Linked DNA regions of Lonchura striata. The protein of the gene in region 1 purifies or fractionates together with the protein of each later gene. This does not show direct contact. Links are inferred from orthologs where the notes say so. Each region holds a gene or a part of one and is shown on either strand. Other genes may lie near its edges. The genes, in order: RPL13A and RPL7L1.

Region 1 (9,058 bases):
TGGCCGAGCCCCCCAACTTCCCGCACGGCGCCGGGCTGCGCTACGAGGCACAGCACGTGCGGGACTGCCTGCTCCGGGGTGAGCTTTTGGGGCGAAACGCGGGGATTTGGGTGAAAAAATGGGTCTGGGGGGAAACCATGGGGTTTGGGGGGAAACCACGGGGTTTGGGGTGAAGTAATGGGTCTGGGGGGGGGAAAGCAATGGGTTTCGGAGGGAAAACACTGGGGTTTTGGACAAAATAACAGGTTTGGGGGGAAATAACGAGATTTTGGGCAAAATAAAATGGTCTGGGGGGGAACAACAGGTTTTGGGGCAAAACCACACTGTTTTGGGCAAAACAATGGGTCTGGGGGGGAACAACAGGTTTTGGGGGAAAGCCCCGGGGTTTTGGGGTGAAACCCCCAATTTTGGGGTGAATGCCGGGTTTGGGGTGACCCAGGACTGACTGAGAGCCCCGAGATGCCGCTGGCCGAGAGCGAGGTCATCGCACAGCTGCTGGACGAGGCGCGGGCCCAGGTGGGGGTGCGGCTGTCCGGAGTGACCACTGACCACCCGGAGCGGCCACTGACCCTCCTGAGTGACCAGCCACCCTCCGGAGTGACCACTGACCACCCGGAGCAGCCACTGACCCTCCTGAGTGACCAGCCACCCTCTGGAGTGACCACTGACCACCCGGAGCGGCCACTGACTCTCCCGAGTGACCACTGACCACCCGGAGCGGCCACTGACTCTCCCGAGTGACCACTGACTGCCCGGAGTGACCAGCCACCCTCCCAAGTGACCCCTAACCCTCCTGAGTGACCCCGGAGTGACCGCAGCAGCTCCGGCGCTGCGTGCCCATGGTTTAATAAAATCGCCAAAATCTCTGAAACCACCCCAAAACAGTGGCCGGCCACTGCCAGTGTATCCCAGTTTGGGTTTATTACAGCCCCTTTTGGGTTGGTTACAGCAGGATCCCGTGCTGCCGCAGCACCGCCGTGAACGGCGCCGCTTTCTTCTCCGCGCTGCGCTCGGCCCGGCGCCGCAGGCTCTGGGGCCAAAAACGGGAGAATCAGGAAAAAGGGGAAAAAGATGGAAAAAACCATGAGAATTGGGTAAAAAACGTGGAAAAAAACAAGCAAAAAATGTGAGAATCAGGGGAAAAGAAAAAAAACCAGAAAAAAACGGGAGAATCGGGGAAAAGGGAAAAAACAGGAAAGAGTGGGGAAAAAAAAAAGGGAAAATCAGGGAAAAGGGAAAAAAGCCAGGAAAAAACACGTAAAAATCAGAGAAAAAGGAAAAAAAAAAAACAGGAGAAAAATGAGGTAATAATGGGAAAAGGACAAAACAAGGAAAAAAAAGGGAGACTCGATTTGACCCCAATTCCCCCCACCCTGAATTCCAATGGAATTCAGGTCTTGCCCCTGGTTTGAGGCTTTTACCTCCTTTTAGGACTCTTTTACCTGGCTTTAGGATTTTTACCTGGTTTTAGGGCTTTTCCGCTGTTTTTCTGGACTTTCCCACCCCTGCCAGCATTTTGAAATCCCAATCCCAAATCCTGGGGGGTTCTCCCTGCCTGGCTCTGGACCCTCCCCCCGATTTGGGTGTCCTCCCGAGGGATTTTGGGGCGTTTTCCCCGTTTTCCTCACCATCATCTTCCTCTTCTTGTTGTAGCGGAGCTTGGCCTTCTCCTTCCGCTTCTCCTCCAGGGCCTCGGTCACGTCCCGGTACTTCCAGCCCACCTCGTGTGCCAGCCGGCCCAGAACGGCAAACTGGGAGGCACGGGGGGCTCAGAACCCCAAAACCCCCCCAAATCCCATAAAACCACCCCCAATCCTATAAAACCCCACCAAAACCCCATAAAACCAGCCCAAATCCCATAAAACCCCACCAAAACCCCATAAAACCACCCAAATCCCATAAAACCTGGCCCAATCCCATAAAACCACCCAGAACTGCCCAAAATACCACAAAACTCACCCAAATCTCCCTAATTCTCCACCGAAATCCCATAAAACCCTTAAAATCCCATAAACCCCCTAAAAAAGTCCCAGAAAACCCCCTAAAATCCCTTAAACTTCTTAAAAACCCTCATGAAACCCCCCAAAAATCCCACTACCCCCATTAAAATCCCATACAACCCCTAAAAAACCATATAAAGCTCCCTAAAATCCCATAGACTCCTAAAAAAATCCATTAAAAAACCCTCATAAAACTGCCTAAAACGCTGTAAAATCCACACAACAATCCCATAAAACTCCCAAAATCCCAAAAACTCCTAAAAACCCCCCAAACCCCCTCCCGCACCCACCTTGCGCGTGGGTTTGAGGCGGATGATTTTGAGGGCAGCCGGCACCACCATCCGCTTCCTCTGGAAAACCCAGGAATTTCGGGATTTTTGGGGGTTTTTTTAAGGTTTTTGGGGTTTTATTGGGCAGGTCCCAGGGGTGGGCGGGGCTCCAGGTGTCTCAGATTTGTTTTTTTCTCAGCAGAAATCGAACAATGTAGGTAAAAATGACATCACTGACACCACGGCTCATTTTGGGGGGATTTTAGGGAGATTTGGGGGGGAAATTTGGGGAGTTCTGGAGGGGGAATTTGAAGGACATTTGGGGGATTTTAGAGAGGGAATTTTGGGGAAGATTTCAGGGTTTTGGCAGTGGAAATTTGGAGGGCTCCAGAGAGGGAATTTGGGAATGACTTGGGGATTTCTGGAGTGGCAATTCGGGGGGTTTTGGAGGGAGAATTTTGGGTAAGATTTGGGGGTTTGGGGTTTTCCCACCTTGTCGTAGGGCGGGGGGATACCATCGAACACCTTGAGCCGCTCCAGGGCCGCCTGGCCCCGCTTGGTTTTGTGGGGCAGCATCCCTGAATTTGGGGTGAAAACACAGATTTAGCATCCTTGGATTTGGGGTGAAAGCACTGGGATTAGGGCAATTCCCAGGGCTGATTTTGGGATAATCAGAGAAAAAGGAAAAAAAGAGGAAAAAACCAAAAAAAAAAAAAAAGAGAGTCAGAGAAAAAGAAAAAAAACGGGAAAAAAAAAGGAGAATCAGGGAAAAAGGAAATAAAATCAGAAAAAAAGCGGAGTTTTCACCTCGGACCGTGCGCCAGAAGATCCGACTGGGAGCTCGGAAGTGGAAAGGGCCCCGCGAGGGGTTGGTGTTCATCCTCTTCCTCAGGAATGCCAGGAACTTCACTGCGGGGAAAACGGGGCAAAATCCCTCAGGAACGGCAGAAAACGGGACAAAATCCCTCCGAAATGGCACTTTGGGAACTGGGGAGTGCCAGGATGGGGAAACAGGGGGAAATCCCCCCAAAAACTTCACTGGGGTGGGCAAACAGAGTGAATTCCCTAAATGGGATTTGGGGAATGCGAAAATCCCCCAAAATGGGGGCTGGGGGTGCACCGAGAACCTTCTGGAAACTTCTGCGTGACTCAGGAACGGCGGGACCGACCCTAAAACCCGGGATTGTCCCCAAAACCCGGGATTGTCCCCAAAACCCGGGACTGTCCCCAAAACCTGGCACTGCCCTCAAAATCCGGGATCTCCTTCCATTCCCGGGATTTCTCCCGAACCCGGGATTTCTCCCGAACCCGGGACCCCCGGGCCACTCACGCTTGTTGCGGTAGAAGTTCCCAGAGATGTTGATGCCCTCGCAGCGAACCACGACCACGCGGCGGCCTGCGGAGAGCGCGGCGGGCCCGGTCAGCCCAGCCCGGTGCCCCCGGTACCCCCAGTATCCCCCGGTGCCCCCGCGCTCAGCTGGTAGTGCATGGAGGCAGCTCTCATTGTCGTTAAACTCGACAGCCGACAGCGCTCATCACGGCGCGGGGGGCCCGGTGCCCCGGGATTGTCCCGGGATTCCCCCGGTGTGCCCCGGGAAAGGCTCCCGCACTCACCCAGCAGCACCTGCTTGGCCACGATCGCCGCCAGCCGGCCCAGGAGGTGCCCGCGCCCGTCGATCACCAGAACCTGCGGCGCGGGCGGCACCGGGTGAGGCCCCGCCGCCACCGGGGCCGGGCCGCACCGCGGGGCCGCCACGTGGCCGCGCCCCGCGCTCCCCCCGCCGCCCGCCCGCCGCTCCCCGCAGCCCCCCGCAGCGCCCGGCCCCATCCCAGAGCCCCGCGGAGCCCGGCCGGGCGCCCCTCCCGCCCCGTGCCGCCCCCGTGCCGCCGCGCCGCACCCGCGGCTCCGCCATGGCCGCCGCCCGCTCGCAAAGAGGCCCCGCCCCCCACGCGGGGTCGCCGCTTCCGTCGGGGACAGCGGCGGGCGGAAGTGACGCCACGACGCGAAGAGGGCGCGAAGCCGCGCCGGGATGCGCCACTGAGGGCGGAAGTGGGGCGGGAACGCCCCCGGTGCCCCCAGTCCCTCCCGGTGCTCCCAGTACGCGCAGGACCCGCTCCCCGGCCTCCCAGTGCTGCCCCAGTTCCCCGCCCAGTACCTGCAGTCCCTCCCAGTGCCCCCAGTAACCATCCGAATCCCTCCCAGTGTCCCCAGTACAGCACTCCAGGCTCTCCAGCGGTCGCTCCTTGTATTTATATATGTACAGCGGAGGGGCCCCGGCTCTCGGGGCTCTCGCACCGGGGGTCCCCGGTCGCTCCTGGGGTTCTCGGGGCTCTCAGGGACTCGGACCGGGGTTCCCCGGTGGCTCCCGGGGGTCTCAGGGCTCTCGGGGGGCTCGGACCGGGGGTCCCCGTTGGATCCCGGGGCTCTCGGGGATGGAAGGGGGGTGGGGTCGCCTCTTCGGAGCGCATCCCTGCGGGCGCCCCGCGTCACTCGTGCGGGGTCCCGGGAGCCGGGGTGGTGCCGGTGGCGCCGTAGCTGGCGGGGGGCCCTCCCGGGGGTCCCGGGGGTCCCACTCCTCCTTCCTCCTCCTCCTCCTCCTCGTCGTCCTCGCCGGCCGGCGCCAGCGGCTCCGCCTCCTCGCGCGGCGGCTCCGCCCACGGCTGCGGCTCCCCCGAGGCGAAGGCGCCGTAGAAGGCCACGCCCCCGTAGTGCACGAGCGCAGCGATCAGGAACACCCACTGCCACTCCTCGCGCGTCTGCGCCAATCAGCGCCCGACGCGTCACAGCAGGGCGGGGACACGAATGGGGAGGGGGCGTGGCCAGTGCGGAGCGCGGGAAAGAGGCGCGGCCAAGGGAAGGGCGGGGCCAAGGCGAGTGGGCGGGGCCGAGCACACAGTGAGTGACAGGCGGCCGGAGCGACCCCCAAAATTCCGAGGTCCCCTCCGGTCCCGTGGTGTCCCCCCAGGTGCCATTGTCCCCTGTGTGCCTCGGACCATGTCCCTCTGTCCTCCATGTCCATCTGTCTCCCCCCTGTCCCATTGTCCCCCCACGTCCCTCCATCCCCCGGTGTCCCTCTGTCCCCCCATGTCCCTCCGTCCCCCCCATGTCCCTCTGTGTCCCTCTGTCCCCATGTCCCATTTTCCCCCATGTCCCTCTGTCCCCCATGTCCCTCCATCCCTCCGTGTCCCTCTGTCCTCCATGTCCCTCTGTCCCCCATGTCCCTCTGTCCCCCCGTGTCCCTCTCTCCCTCTATGTCCCTCTGTCCCTCCTGCCCTCGTGTTGTCCCCTGCTGTCCCCGCACCTTGTGGCGCGTCAGTGCCCCCACGATGAGGGGACACACCATGCCCGACAGGGTCCCCACACCGTTGGACAGCCCCATCAGCACGCTGGCGTAGCGCGGCGCGATGTCCAGGTGGTTCACGTTGAACCCTGACATGGGGAGGGGACACAGGGGTATCACCTGTGTGTCACCGGTGTTTCCCCCACCCCGAGAAACCCCCAGGAAAAAACCACAGAACACCCCAAAAAACCCACAAAACACCCCAAAAAAACCCCCACAAAAACCCCCAAAACCCACAGAAAACCCACATAAAAACAACCCCAATACCCCACACAAAACACTCCAAAAAAACCCCACAAAACACCCCAAAATCTCACACAAAACCCCCCAGTCCCGCTGTCCCCACCGGAGATGGCGAAGCCGCTGAAGCCCACGGCCAGCACCAGGAAGGAGATGGCCACAGCCCGCGAGTGCGAGTAGCCCACCACCAGCAGCAGCGTGGCCTCCATGCCGAACCCTGCAAGGGGAACGCCGTCACCTGCTGTCCCCTCTACCACCGGCTGTCACCCGCTGTCCCCTCTGTGTCCCCTCAGTGCCCATGTCCCTTCTGTCTCCTCTGTCCCCTCCGTGTCTCCATGTCCCCCCAGCGCTGTCCCCACTGTCCCCTCCATGTCCCCCCGTTCCCTCTGTGTCTCCTCCATGTCCCCATGTCCCCAGTGTCCCCTCCGTGTCTCTGCTGCCCTGTGTTTGTGTCCCTGTTCCCTCTGTGTCCCCACTGTCCCCTCCATGTCCCCAGTGTCCCCTGCATGTCCGTGTTCCTTCCATGTCCCCCCTGTGTCCCTGCTGTCCTGTGTCCCCTCCATGTCCCCGCTGTCCCCTCGGTGTCCCCTCTGTCTGTGTCCCTGCTGTCCCCACCATGTCCCCGCTTTCCTGTGTCCCCCCCATGTCCCCCCCATGTCCCCGCTGTCCCCCCGTGTCCATGTCCCCGCTGTCCCGTGTCCCCGCTGTCCCCCCGTGTCCCCTGTCCCGTGCTGACCGCCGCAGTTCATCATCTTGCGGACGTTGGTGGTGGACATTAGCCCCCGCGAGCGCAGCAGGTCGGCGATCTGGCCACCGATGGGCACCACGATGGTCATCACCAGGTGCGGCAGCGCCGACAGCAGCCCCACCTGCGGGGCCGGGGGTTCGGGGCGGTTTGGGGCAGTTTTGGGGCTTTTTGGGTTTTTTTGTGTGGCTTTCTGTGGGTTTTGGGGTGTTTTGTGCAGTGTTTTCTGTGGGGTTTTTGAGATTTTTTTTTTTTTGGTGGGGTTTTTAGGAGTGTTTTGTGGGGATTTTGGGCCCAACCTTGCTGATCTCGAAGCCGAAGACCTCCTCGAAGTAGGCGGGCTGGCTGATGAGCAGCAGGTAGAAGGTCCAGCTGCGGCAGAAGTTGGCCACGATGATGGCGTAGACGGGCATCGAGGTGAAGAAGTGGCGCCAGGGTGTGGCCAGCTGCGGGTGGGGAGTGGCCACTGACCACACTGACCCCACTGACCCACTGACCGGCGGCGGTGACCCCCATGCCACCCCCGGCCCCGCTCCAGCCCCACTTCCCATGGGATGGAGCAGCTGGACCGTGCTGGAGGCCACGGTGGCCCCAAGGGTGGTGGCCACAGAGGCCTTCCAGTGGTCCCAGAGATCCCCCAGTGACCCCACTGCTTCCAGTGACCCTCCAGTGCTCCCAGTGACTGCCATGCCCATCCCAGTGACTCCCAGTGTCTGTCCCAGTACTCCCAGTGTCTGTCCCAGTACTCCCAGTGCTCATCCGAACACTCCCAGTGCCATTCCCAGCCCTCCCAGTGCCATTCCCAGTGCTCCCAGTCTGACCAGCAGCGGGTTGCTGCCCGCACTCTCGCCGATGCTCTCCTCGATGTACTTGCGCTCCTCGGCCGAGATCGTCGGGTGCTGCGCGGGGCTCTCGTAGGACACCAGCACCCAGAACAGGTACCAGAACACCCCGAAACTGCCTGGAGGGCTGGGGTTACTGGGAGGGGCACTGGGAACACTGGGGGCACTGGGAGGGGCACTGGGAGAGGTCACTGGGGGCAATGGGAGGGGTCCTGGGGGCATCCTGGGGGTCCCTGTGGGGCTTGGGGGTGTCTCGGTGGTTGCGAGGGGGTCCCAGTGGTCCTGTGAGGGTCCCGGGGGTTTCAGGGGTCCCAGGGGTGTCCCGGGGGTCCCATAAGGGTCCTGCTGGTCCCAAGGGGTCCTGGAGGGTCCCAGGGGCTCTCACCGTAGACGTAGAACACGGAGCTCCAGCCTGTGTACTGCACCAGGACCCCGGCCAGCGGCATGGCCACCACCGCCCCGGCGTACGAGCCTGCCGGGGCACGGCGGTCACCAGGGACGCCCTGGGGGCCCCCGCAGCCCCCCTGAGCCCCCCGGTAGCCCCCGGTACCGCAGAAAGCTGTGGTGGCCAGGCGGCTCCGCTCCAGGGGCGGCGCCCACTTGCTCCAGATGCCGTGACAGGCGGGGTAGGTCACGCCCTGCCGAAAGGGGCAGGGTCAACACGGGCAACGCCCACCTGGGCCACGCCCACCTGCCACACCCTGATGGGCGTGGTCCAGGGACACCAAGGGACACACCCAACCCTGGCCACGCCCACCTGGGCCACGCCCACCTACCACACCCTGATGGGCGTGGTCCAGGGACACCAAGGGACACACCCAACCCTGGCCACGCCCCCGCCATTGGGAGCGTGGAAATGGCCACGCCCCAACCTCACCAGTGGAACACCAAAATCCGCCCAGAAACACCCCAAAAACACCCCAAAAACACCTTAAAAACACCCCAAACTACCCCAAAACAAACACCGCTAAAACACCCCAAAACCACTCTAAAACAAACACTGCTAAACACCCCAAAAACACCTTAAAAATATTCCAAAACCACCCCAAAACCACCCCAAAACAAACACCACTAAAACACCCCAAACCAGCCCAAAACCACCCTAAAACCACACGAAAATCAACACAAAATTTCCCAAAACACCCCAGAGACACCCAAAATCCCCCAAAACCGCTCCTGCTCTTTTGTACGTACATGAAAACAGCCCCAAACCACCCCAAATACCCAAAACTGCCCGAAATGCCCACAAAACCCGGCGCTGACCTCCACCAGCCCCTGCATGACGCGCACGGCGATGACGCAGCCGACGTGGGTGCGCGCGGCTGACGGGATCAGCATGTTCAGCACCGAGGTGGACACGATGGCCAGCCCGAACACCCTGGCCAGGGGACACGCAGGTGACCGCCACGCCCCGGGCTCACCTGCGGGCCGGCCACGCCCCCCAGGCCAGCGCTCACCTGTTGGCCGCGAACTTCTGGGCGATGAATCCGCCAGGGATCTGCGTGACGATGTAGCCCCAGAAGAAGGAGCCGTGGATCATCCCCACTGTCTCAGGGTCCCAGTTGAACTGGGCATGCTGGGGAAGGCCCAGGAGGGGTCAGAGGGGTGGGGGACACGGCCT
Region 2 (9,364 bases), on another chromosome or scaffold:
GTATGTAAAATAAGCTAAACTAATGGTGTGTTAAACCACTGCCTCTGCTAGAAAAACTGCCTAAATCTAGGATTAGTTGCTAGAGTTGTATTATTCTTAAACTGCATTCTGTTAGCAGTCTTAAATTCTCTGTAGCAACTAAAATAATCTCATTCCTAGTGTGCCAGTTTTCATGTTAGAAGCCTGGGCTGTTTTATTACCAGAAATAACCCTAAAACAAATCAACCAAACAATTCTTGTACCACTCTACAATGGTAGCAGCTGTTTTATCAGGAAAACTTTAAACACATGAAGCCTTCTATTTTAATGACCACTGGGCTCTGGTTCTGGGGACACAGTTGTTCTGTGTACGTCTGTAGTGTCTGTCCAGCGTTTTCTATGTTTCTATTCTTGGTTACAGAATAAAGCTTCGGGTTTTATGTTCTCTAATTGAGAGTCTACAGTTCTTGGTACTTCAGATGGTTCCATGAATGCTACATTCTAGTTTATAACTGTCACACAAGCAACACCCAAGACATCCTCCTTGTTACTTAACTGTTTCCTTCCTGAGTCTCCATGTGGTGTGGACTCTGTATGAAATCCATTAATGGATTAACACTTTGCTCCCACCTAAGTTTTCAAGCAACAGTTTAAACAGTCACAGTGAACTAATGACACTGCCTTCCATATTTGTTAAACAGCACTGGACTCTTTCATGTGTTCTTACCATTTCTGTAGTGGAAGAAATTAGGGATTTAAATCTCTGGAACTTTCAGACTTACATGGTTTTGTTCACTTCCTTCACTAAATTCATTCCAGCCAGAGTGTTTAACTGGTTTTTCCACTCTTTTACAGTGATGCAGAACTTTCTGTTATAATAATATAATTTCAGAATTTTATTTAAAAAACACAGATTACATATACCCTATCCCAGGACTGTATTTCTTGCATTTTCTTATTTCCAGGAAATACTTCTCCCCAGCAGTCCCAATACAGCAAAAGAAAAAAAAAAAAAAAAAAGGCAAAAAAAAAAAAAAGCTCTTTAAATCAGGACCACAAACCCTTAATTTTTAAAAAATAAATACAATCCAGGTACTTAACAAGTGACATTATTCACGGCTAGGGCTTGTGCTGCAGTAACAGAGCATGGTGTTTTCTTTTTTTTCTTTTGCCTATCAGCACAATTGTGACTGCACTACCCCTTTCACCCCCAGAAGCACATCAAAGAGTGAAGTCTGTAGTAGTGTGCATAAAAAACACTTATTTTACAGAGATGCAAATGTGAAATTGCTCCAAGAAGCTCATTCTTGTACCAAAGAGAATTTATCTTCTTTAAGAAGGGCCAGCCCAAAGTCCATCTCCATCATCATCTTTGTGTTTCTTCTTTTATAGAGGCACCAGCAATCAAGAGAAGTTGCATACAGATCACTGCATGTAGATAATGTCCACAAAAGGTACATGTGAAAAGGAACAGGTCATAGATCCCAGTTTTCACAAAATCCCTGCAGAATAGGGAAGAAAATATAAAATAAAGTCATATTATCTCCCAGGAGCCAAGCCTTCATGGAGGTGTCCAACTGCATGTGCTGATCCTAAAGGGATCACTCTTGATTAGTTTCTCCTACTCTGAGGTCAGTTTTGCAGAGTGACAAAACCAAGTGAGCACCCCATTCATCTTCAATGGCAGTCTGGTTGTCCTTAGGACAGGGAATGAAGGGTAAGCTTCAGAACTAACCCAGCAGGCACTGCTCACCTGACTAGTTGAGCTGACGGATGAGCTGGTTGATTGCATCACCTCTGTAGCCAGGCTTGCCCATCTCCTTGAGGAAACCCACTCTGTTCCGTGATGCGTGGCGAGCCACTGACAGGTGGAACGGCCACAGAAAGCTGGTTACTCTTTTGAAATACTTCCCAGTTGAGTAGATTTCATGAATAAGGTCTTCCAGGCAAATGATATTACAGCCCCCTGTATGAGGGAAAAAAAAAGATGTCCAGCTGTATAATCTTTCCTCACACTGCTCCAGAACTGCCAGTCCTCCAGTTTGACAAGATTTTGTCTGTCCCCACCCTTTCAGGCCAGACTGTAAACTCTCAACACCTAACCCTTTCCTCAATTTTCTCACCCTCTTCCTCACCTAAATGTTCCTCTATCAGCATGTTGTCTGTCAGAGGCACCTTCTTTTTCTTGATCTTGGCTTGGCCCCGTTTCAGGATGAGCTCTCGTACAGATTTCAGGTTAGGCTGTCTGTGCAGAAACAAAAATCAGATCCTGTAACAGAGAGACATGATGCAGAGGGACACCCATACCACTTCCTTGTGCAGAGGTGGGAAAGTACACAAGTTATGTCAAGAACAATCAGAACAAAGAAAATAGCAAGTTTTTAATACAAAGTTGATTAAGTTTTGACCATGATTGGAGAAGTAATGGATCTGTGATAGCAACTGGAGAATCCAATGACCCCCAAGTCACAGGAGGGGCACGTACCCCCACGCCACATAAGGCTCCACGATGCGCAGCATCTTCAGCGACAGTGGGCTCAGCTTCACAAATACCCCGGTATAATTCTTCCTCAGCCGCAGCAACTCAATCACTCTTTTCACCCTCTTAGTCACTCCCTTAATACTGAGGAAAACAGAATTTATTAGTAACCACATTTTTCTAATACAGCAACTAAAGGCCTCAGATCACCTGCAAGGAGACATGTCTAGGTTGATCCCACTGCCTTGGTATGGAAACGACACAACAACGGGTAGCAACAATGGAAGGAGTAGGGGAAGGCTCTTACTCCACAATCCTCACGACGAAGGCCAGCTTGCTCTCCTGAGGTGCCACTGCCTGCCCAGGCCTCTGCTCCATGCGCCTCAGCCGGGTGTCATCCCGGCGTTTGCGCCATGAATCCCGAACAAAGGTCTCCAGGCGCCTGAACTGGATCTGTTTCCCCTTCTGCTGCTGCAGACAAAAGGAAAACAAAGTGAGGTTTGCATCTGAAAGGCCAAATGAAATGCAAAGTAGTGAACAATGTCCTTACAGCTTTGGAAGCAGTAAAAAAATAAATTTGATTATCTAAGCCCAAGGGAGACAGAACTGAGGGACAACATGAATTTATACACAACTATTATTTATGAACAGTGAACAAAGAGTTTTTCCCTAGGAAAAGTATAAGTTAAGGAAAAGACCTGGGATACTTCTAGGCATAGCTACAGACAGAGCTCAGCAATGGCTGGGAAAGCCAGAAACGGCATGTGGGCAACAGATATTTAAATGTCTCTCTTTACCTTAGGAATGAGTACATCCACCAACACTCATAGTGTTTTCTCATACAAACAGGACTTGAAAATGCACAGCATTACACAATGATATTTAAGATACTCTACTGGTTAAATTACCTGGCCACTTTAAAGAATCTAATGTTGTGTGTCTTCTGTTCTATTTCACCTTGTAAATAACCCATTAAATTCGTTTGAATTTTCAAAGCATGGAGACCTAATAAAAGTCTCATCACTAAGATCCTTTTTAATGAGAATCTTAAGGAGTGGCTATGTAATATTACTGCTTATGCTCCCACCTTGGAAATACAGCAAACCACTGATGCTTTTAAAAATGTAAACATGGTATCAAACAAAAATGGCAGGAGTTTTGCACATCCCACAAGATTCACTGGAAATCTTTAAGACAGACACCTATTGTATTAGCTGTGACACAGCACAACAAGTCTCAGATTTGGAATTAGAAAGGTTTGCTGTACTCTGCTAGTCTGGAAATGGCACGATGTGCACAGGGTGTAGGACATGTGTCACCCCACTCGCAGAAAAAGGCTTCATCATGACCAGTGCTGCTCTAACAGAAAACTCTAAAGCCGCCCTCAGAAAAGGACGGCTTCCATGCAGGGTTTCAACACAAAGGTGGTTTCAGGCAGTGAAATCCCAGGGCAGCAGAGATAGCGCTGCAGTTTCCCACATGTGACTGCAAATACCTGACCACCACTGATCCAACAGGAACAACTCACAGTCTTCTATATATTTCTGTTTCGGTGTAATAACCGGTACAATTCTGTCCGCTTTACAAGGCTCAAAGGAGAAGATGTTGAGGGACTCAAGTCCCCCTCGGAACCCCGGAATCCCGCGGCGCTCTGAGGGGCCCGACCACTCGGGTCATTTCCCAGGAATTTCAAGGAATTGCGGTTCCCTTCTCCGGAGGGGGAGCTGGAGCTGCAGGCCCAGGCTCTGCCGGGACCCGCCGTACCTTGCGTTTGTTGAGCAGCGCCTGCTTGGCCTGGGTGGCCTTGATGGCCAGGTACGCCTTCCTCTTCTTCAGCAAGTTCTCCGGCACCAGCGGGATCCGCCGCTTCGGCCTGCGGGCGGGACAACCCGGTCACATCCCGGCCCCATCCCGCATTCCCGCATCCCGCCCCTTCCCGGGCCGGCTCCGTGGCCGCCCCCAGCCCGCGGATGGCGGCGGATCCCGCATGCCCTCCACTCTTCCCCCTACGCCGCACTCACTCCTCCAGCTCCGCCATGTTGCCGCGCTGCTGCCGCGCATGCGCGGGGGCGGGGCCATGGCCGCTGCCCCTCGGGAGCCGCTCGCCGGCCCGGGATCGCGGAGTGCCGGGAGCGGGATGGAGCGGGATGGAGCGGGATGGAGCGGGATGGAGCGGGATGGAGCGGGATGGAGCGGGATGGAGCGGGATGGAGCGGGATGGAGCGGGATGGCGGCGCTGCCGGCCCTGCGCTCGCCCGGCAGCCACAGGCGGCGGGCCCGGGAGACGCGCGGTGTGACCGGCGCGTCACCCGCAGGTGGTGCCAGAGCCGCGCTCTCGGCTGGGTGCTGGTGGAGATGTGTTCCTGGTGTGCCGTGCGGGATGCGGGACCTTACAGCCCGAAATCCTTCTCATTTCCACTGACCGTAGTGTCCTCTCACCGGTGAGGAGCTCCAGCCTTGCCGGGAGGTTCGGTCGTGCCAGGGTTTCGCTGCTCACCTTGGTGATGCTGCAAACCTTTACAACACTCTAAATGAGCCCGCTTCTGTTTTGACACCTAAAACATGAAAATCCGTATTTAGCAACTCGATCCCAAATGCCAGGAAGAACAAGCCGTCGGTGATCAAACCCAGCTCTCATATGCATTCTTTTTTTTTTTTTTTTTTTTTTTTTTTTTTTTTTTTTTTTTGCATATGACACACAAAGCAACAAGCTTAGGAAATAAATAATCTGAAACTTTTCCCATAACTACACAATTTTCACCCTGACTTACAAAAATAGCTGGAATCCCTCGTAGTTCACAACAGAGAAAGTGGCCCATTTAAATCTACAAATGAGTGTGCTTTGTTGAACAGGAGGGAAATGCAAACAGGCTCTTGGGTATTCCACCATTAATGGCCAGGAAGCAATAAGTAAGTAAATATTTGAAGTGCTGTTGCTGTTGAAAAGTCTCCCAGCACAGCAGCATTCCGAGGCTGATTTGCTGAACTTCAACCAGCAGTTATATTGTTTTAATGAATGGATATTCAAATGTCCCTGTTTGCAGGGATACCCAAGAAAAGTGTTCCCACTTTCCTAGACAGCAACCTGCTGTACACTGGCCTTCAGCACTCTGAATTCCCACACACAAAATTTTAGGGCTCCAATTCCAAAAGCCAAGTCAGGAGATGAGATGGGATGTCAGAGGTCCATGGAACTTCTTGACTTATTTTCTCATTCCATGGGTATAAAACTCCATTAAATTAATTCCAAATCCCACAAAACCTTTATTGATGCTGTATGCAGTCTCGAAACAGCAAGAGGGCTTTAGGTCTATCACTTTCATCATTGAACTATGCCCTAGTCTGAAATCTGTTTGTAATAAATTCTTTATAAAAAGAGCCAAAGAAATTAAATTTTGTTTATTTTACCAATGATCTAATCCTGAGAATATTTTAATAAGGAAAGTACCTTGAGATTTTAAATTATGCCTATTTTCAGATCTTTTAAGGGAAAAGTTTATACAATTAGGACAGATGTCTGGAAATTACTCCATGCACACACTCTAACCAATAATTAATAGAGAGAAAAGTTGGGTGATCCAAGACTTTCTTTCATGGAAACAGCAATCATATAGAGATGGACTAAAATTTCATTAAAATATTTTTAGAAACACTGTAGATAGATGCATGGGTTTATTATTTTCAAAATAAGCTTCCTTAAGATGGGCCTTTTTGTCAGTAATCCTGCAAATTCACTACAAAAGGAGCAATGTGGGTATGAGACTAACATAGATGGGTCCCCTCAGTTAGCGGCACCTAATACGTCAAATTGAAAAGGCTAAAACATAAAACTTGTCTTTGTGTCTCCCTAGAAAAAAAATTGAATGGGGCAAAACAATTCATTCTTTAGTGCCACTAATTTATCAGCAACAATGGAAAATATTCCAGTTTCAAAAGCTCATTTTTACAGTAACTGTTGTGAATAATTCCCTAGAAGAAAATCAGACTACTAATAAAGCCCTGGCACAATTTTCAATTATTGTCCCTGGAAATGTTATCTGAAGTTTTAAGTTACAAATATTAAATTACAGATTTATATCTGTCAGAATGTTCTGACATATTCTGAAAGAGTGGTGTTACCTATTTACAAGTTTCCAAAGTGAAACAATTGTAAGAATTAAAATGTAAATTGATTTTGTTTTACTTCTAATGCACTTGTAAAGGCCTGGCTAATGACCCCAAAATAGAAAAATTGTTTTTCGATTGCAATAAACAGCAATGAAAATAATTTATTTCTCTGCTTTGTCTATAAGAGAGTGTACATGGTGGCTGCAATTTGAGTGTACAACAAATTTAATTGTATCTTTAAAGAACAGTGGAGATAAAAATAGACATTATTATATGTAGTCTCCACAGGTCTCCATGACCTCTCTCCTTCTTCCACAGGGACAAAAAGCTGCATTGTATTTGGGAGAAAGATCAATTATGTCTGAGATGAAAGACAGTGAGAACAGAATAGGAGTCTTTCCCACACTCAGTAATTGGGAATCCTACCTCCTACTTTTTAATTGAACCTTCAAGATAATTATGCCATTTAGGTTGTGGAAGCATATTAATAAGTACACCACAGCATAAACTATTCATAAAAATACTACAGACTGGGGAGCCATAAAAAGAGATGGAATGGAATAGCCTAATTAGGAAGTTTATCATGTCAGTGTAGACAACTCAATAGGAGATGCTTTGCATAGACAGATAATGCTCTCTGTTCTAAACCTCAGTGGTTCTCCTACAAAGGTGTTGGGTAGTGGACGATAACTTTTAATCTATTTTTCTTTAAAAATAAGCATTTAATTATTTTTATTTTATGGCTCTGGTTACTGACACAACTATGTAATATTCTTTTGCAAGTTCAGTTTGGGAGACTAGGGAAGAAACAGGCAGCAGTTGTTTCAACAGAAACAGGAATCAGAAAAGGATTAAGACATCATAAGTGAGAAGTGACCTGCAGTAATTAATATAAAATCACAGCAGTTTCACAGGCTGAGCCCTGAAGGAAGGTGTGGCCCTGAGTGCTGACAGTGCAATAGGGCTATAAAGGTCCTCTCACTTTTTTTCCTGTTAATTTATGCAGGGAAAGTTCTGATTGGAATATTTGAGTTTGTCTGCAATTATTGGTGACAACTGCCCAGATAAAGCTACAGAGCGTCAGTATTTGGCCAGAAAACACCAGGCAGAAAAACACAGAGAGAAGGAGTAGGAGGGATGTAAGTGGTCACCTGTAGCTTTTTCCCAAGAAAGAGGCTGTGTCCCTACACACAGCAGAAACAAAGGAAGGGAGGAGGTAGTTGCAGGGTTCTCCTCATGGCACAGCAGATGTTATAAGTCTGAGTGCTAAGCAGTGAAACAGCAGATAAAAATCAGTAAATAAAAGTGCAGCAATGTTTCACAAATTTTTCTATGAAATGATGGGTTCAAGGTAAGATAATAAGATTGGGAGTAGGATTTTGGAACTATTAGAGATAGATAAAAATATCAGCTTAATGCTTAGGACAACTGAACAGTAATTGAAAATTATTAGAGAAGGGGTAAGGAACAAAGCAAAAACTGATTCCACAGCATAGCCTCTCACACCCGCATTTTGAATGCTCCAGCTTTGGTCGGTCATCTTTCTTCCATCTGTCCATCTCATACCTCCACCCACCTTCCCCCAAGACAGACTTGGAAAAGATTCAGAGAAAGAAGATCAAACACAGGGAATAGTTTCCATCTGTGGAGCAGTTATATAGACTGGACCTGCCAGCTGGGAGAAAGGTGCTTGAGGGAAGATAAAACAGTCAGTAAAATGATAAATTCTGGGATTCCTCTTTCAGCACAAAAAGGGAACCTCCGATGAAGGCAGCAGGAGGCAGGTTCACAGGTAATAATTTGGGTTTTTCAGCACATGAACTTGGATTGAAGACCCAGACCTCTTAGCCACCAGAGGAGTTACACATTCCAGCCGTGTGTTCCTGCCCACCTCCCCTGCCCCCAGTGGATGTGGCCTTTCTGCTAGCTCAGCTCTAAATTTTCCATTCAAATGAAATAGATCCCATTTTATATTTGCCCTTGCTATTATAGCCCAGCATTAGAAAAGGCAGACAGAAATCAGTTTCTTTGCCTGCATACAGAAGGGCTCATTTAATCTGAATGCATGCCCTTCCCTGCTCAGCTGCACCGTGTCCCATTTTCCTGCCTTTGAAGTCCACCCTTTCCAGTCTTTAAAGAGCTTTGGATAAATGAATCCTGTTCCTGCAGTGATCTATTATCAGCACTGTCTAAAAGCGAGAAGGATGAGGCAAATTTGCCAAAAAGCTGAGGAGAGGTGGAAAAAGTGAGAAAGGAATCAATATCTGTGTAGCTCCAGGTAGCACTGCCCGGACCACAGCAAGCAAAGCCCAGCTGCTTGGTTCCAGCAGCTTGGAGCATCATTGTCCAGCTGTAACAGTGATCCATCAGCTGGCAGACTGAGACTGCAGGGGCACTCCATCACCTGGAAAAAAGGGGGATGAGATGAGGGGAATGCCTCAACACGAATAAACCACAGGAATCCAAAGAAACTGTGCTGCTCCTCTGTGCTGTGCTCAGCAAGACTTGGTTCTTCCCTGAGAGTTTTCCATAACCCCTGGTGGAATCAAGGCATTTCTATATCAGATGCTGTGTTCTCACTTCTGAGATAGTTTCTGACCCAAGAGACATCCTTAGGAAGAGCTCCTGAAGAAAAAACAGGTCCTGTTTCTAAACCAGTCAGCAGGATAACAAGCCTGTCTTGCTAGTTCAAATTTTCTATTCACATATTAATTATACTGTAAATTATTTTTGATGTATTGTATAGAAAAAGTAGAAGAGTCATCATCTTTTTTTCCTACTTTTTAACAGTAAGAGTAA

What was found.
Region 2: the proteins of RPL13A (region 1) and RPL7L1 purify together in Homo sapiens (affinity purification with mass spectrometry; 3 studies listed by BioGRID and IntAct, with this or other methods). This does not show direct contact. The link is inferred for Lonchura striata from reciprocal best matches to the Homo sapiens genes RPL13A and RPL7L1.

What each region holds. Positions count from the first base shown.
Region 1 is NC_134640.1:2,920,352-2,929,409, forward strand, and holds RPL13A (large ribosomal subunit protein uL13), read right to left. Parts: upstream 4,232-9,058; 5' UTR 4,183-4,231; coding exon 4,168-4,182; intron 3,957-4,167; coding exon 3,884-3,956; intron 3,816-3,883; exon of another isoform or gene 3,737-3,815; intron 3,666-3,736; coding exon 3,600-3,665; intron 3,179-3,599; coding exon 3,077-3,178; intron 2,848-3,076; coding exon 2,762-2,847; intron 2,512-2,761; exon of another isoform or gene 2,441-2,511; intron 2,351-2,440; coding exon 2,291-2,350; intron 1,752-2,290; coding exon 1,629-1,751; intron 1,031-1,628; coding exon 944-1,030; 3' UTR 897-943; downstream 1-896. Other genes in the region: DHDH (trans-1,2-dihydrobenzene-1,2-diol dehydrogenase), read left to right, coding at 1-78, 440-708; SLC17A7 (vesicular glutamate transporter 1), read right to left, coding at 4,757-5,026, 5,572-5,699, 5,957-6,067, 6,587-6,719, 6,895-7,041, 7,417-7,556, 7,823-7,909, 7,988-8,075 and 2 more. UniProt on the Homo sapiens protein: Associated with ribosomes but is not required for canonical ribosome function and has extra-ribosomal functions.
Region 2 is NC_134606.1:70,021,210-70,030,573, forward strand, and holds RPL7L1 (ribosomal protein uL30-like), read right to left. Parts: upstream 4,538-9,364; 5' UTR 4,497-4,537; coding exon 4,480-4,496; intron 4,332-4,479; coding exon 4,223-4,331; intron 2,930-4,222; coding exon 2,766-2,929; intron 2,603-2,765; coding exon 2,465-2,602; intron 2,225-2,464; coding exon 2,115-2,224; intron 1,946-2,114; coding exon 1,737-1,945; 3' UTR 1,733-1,736; intron 1,482-1,732; 3' UTR 863-1,481; downstream 1-862.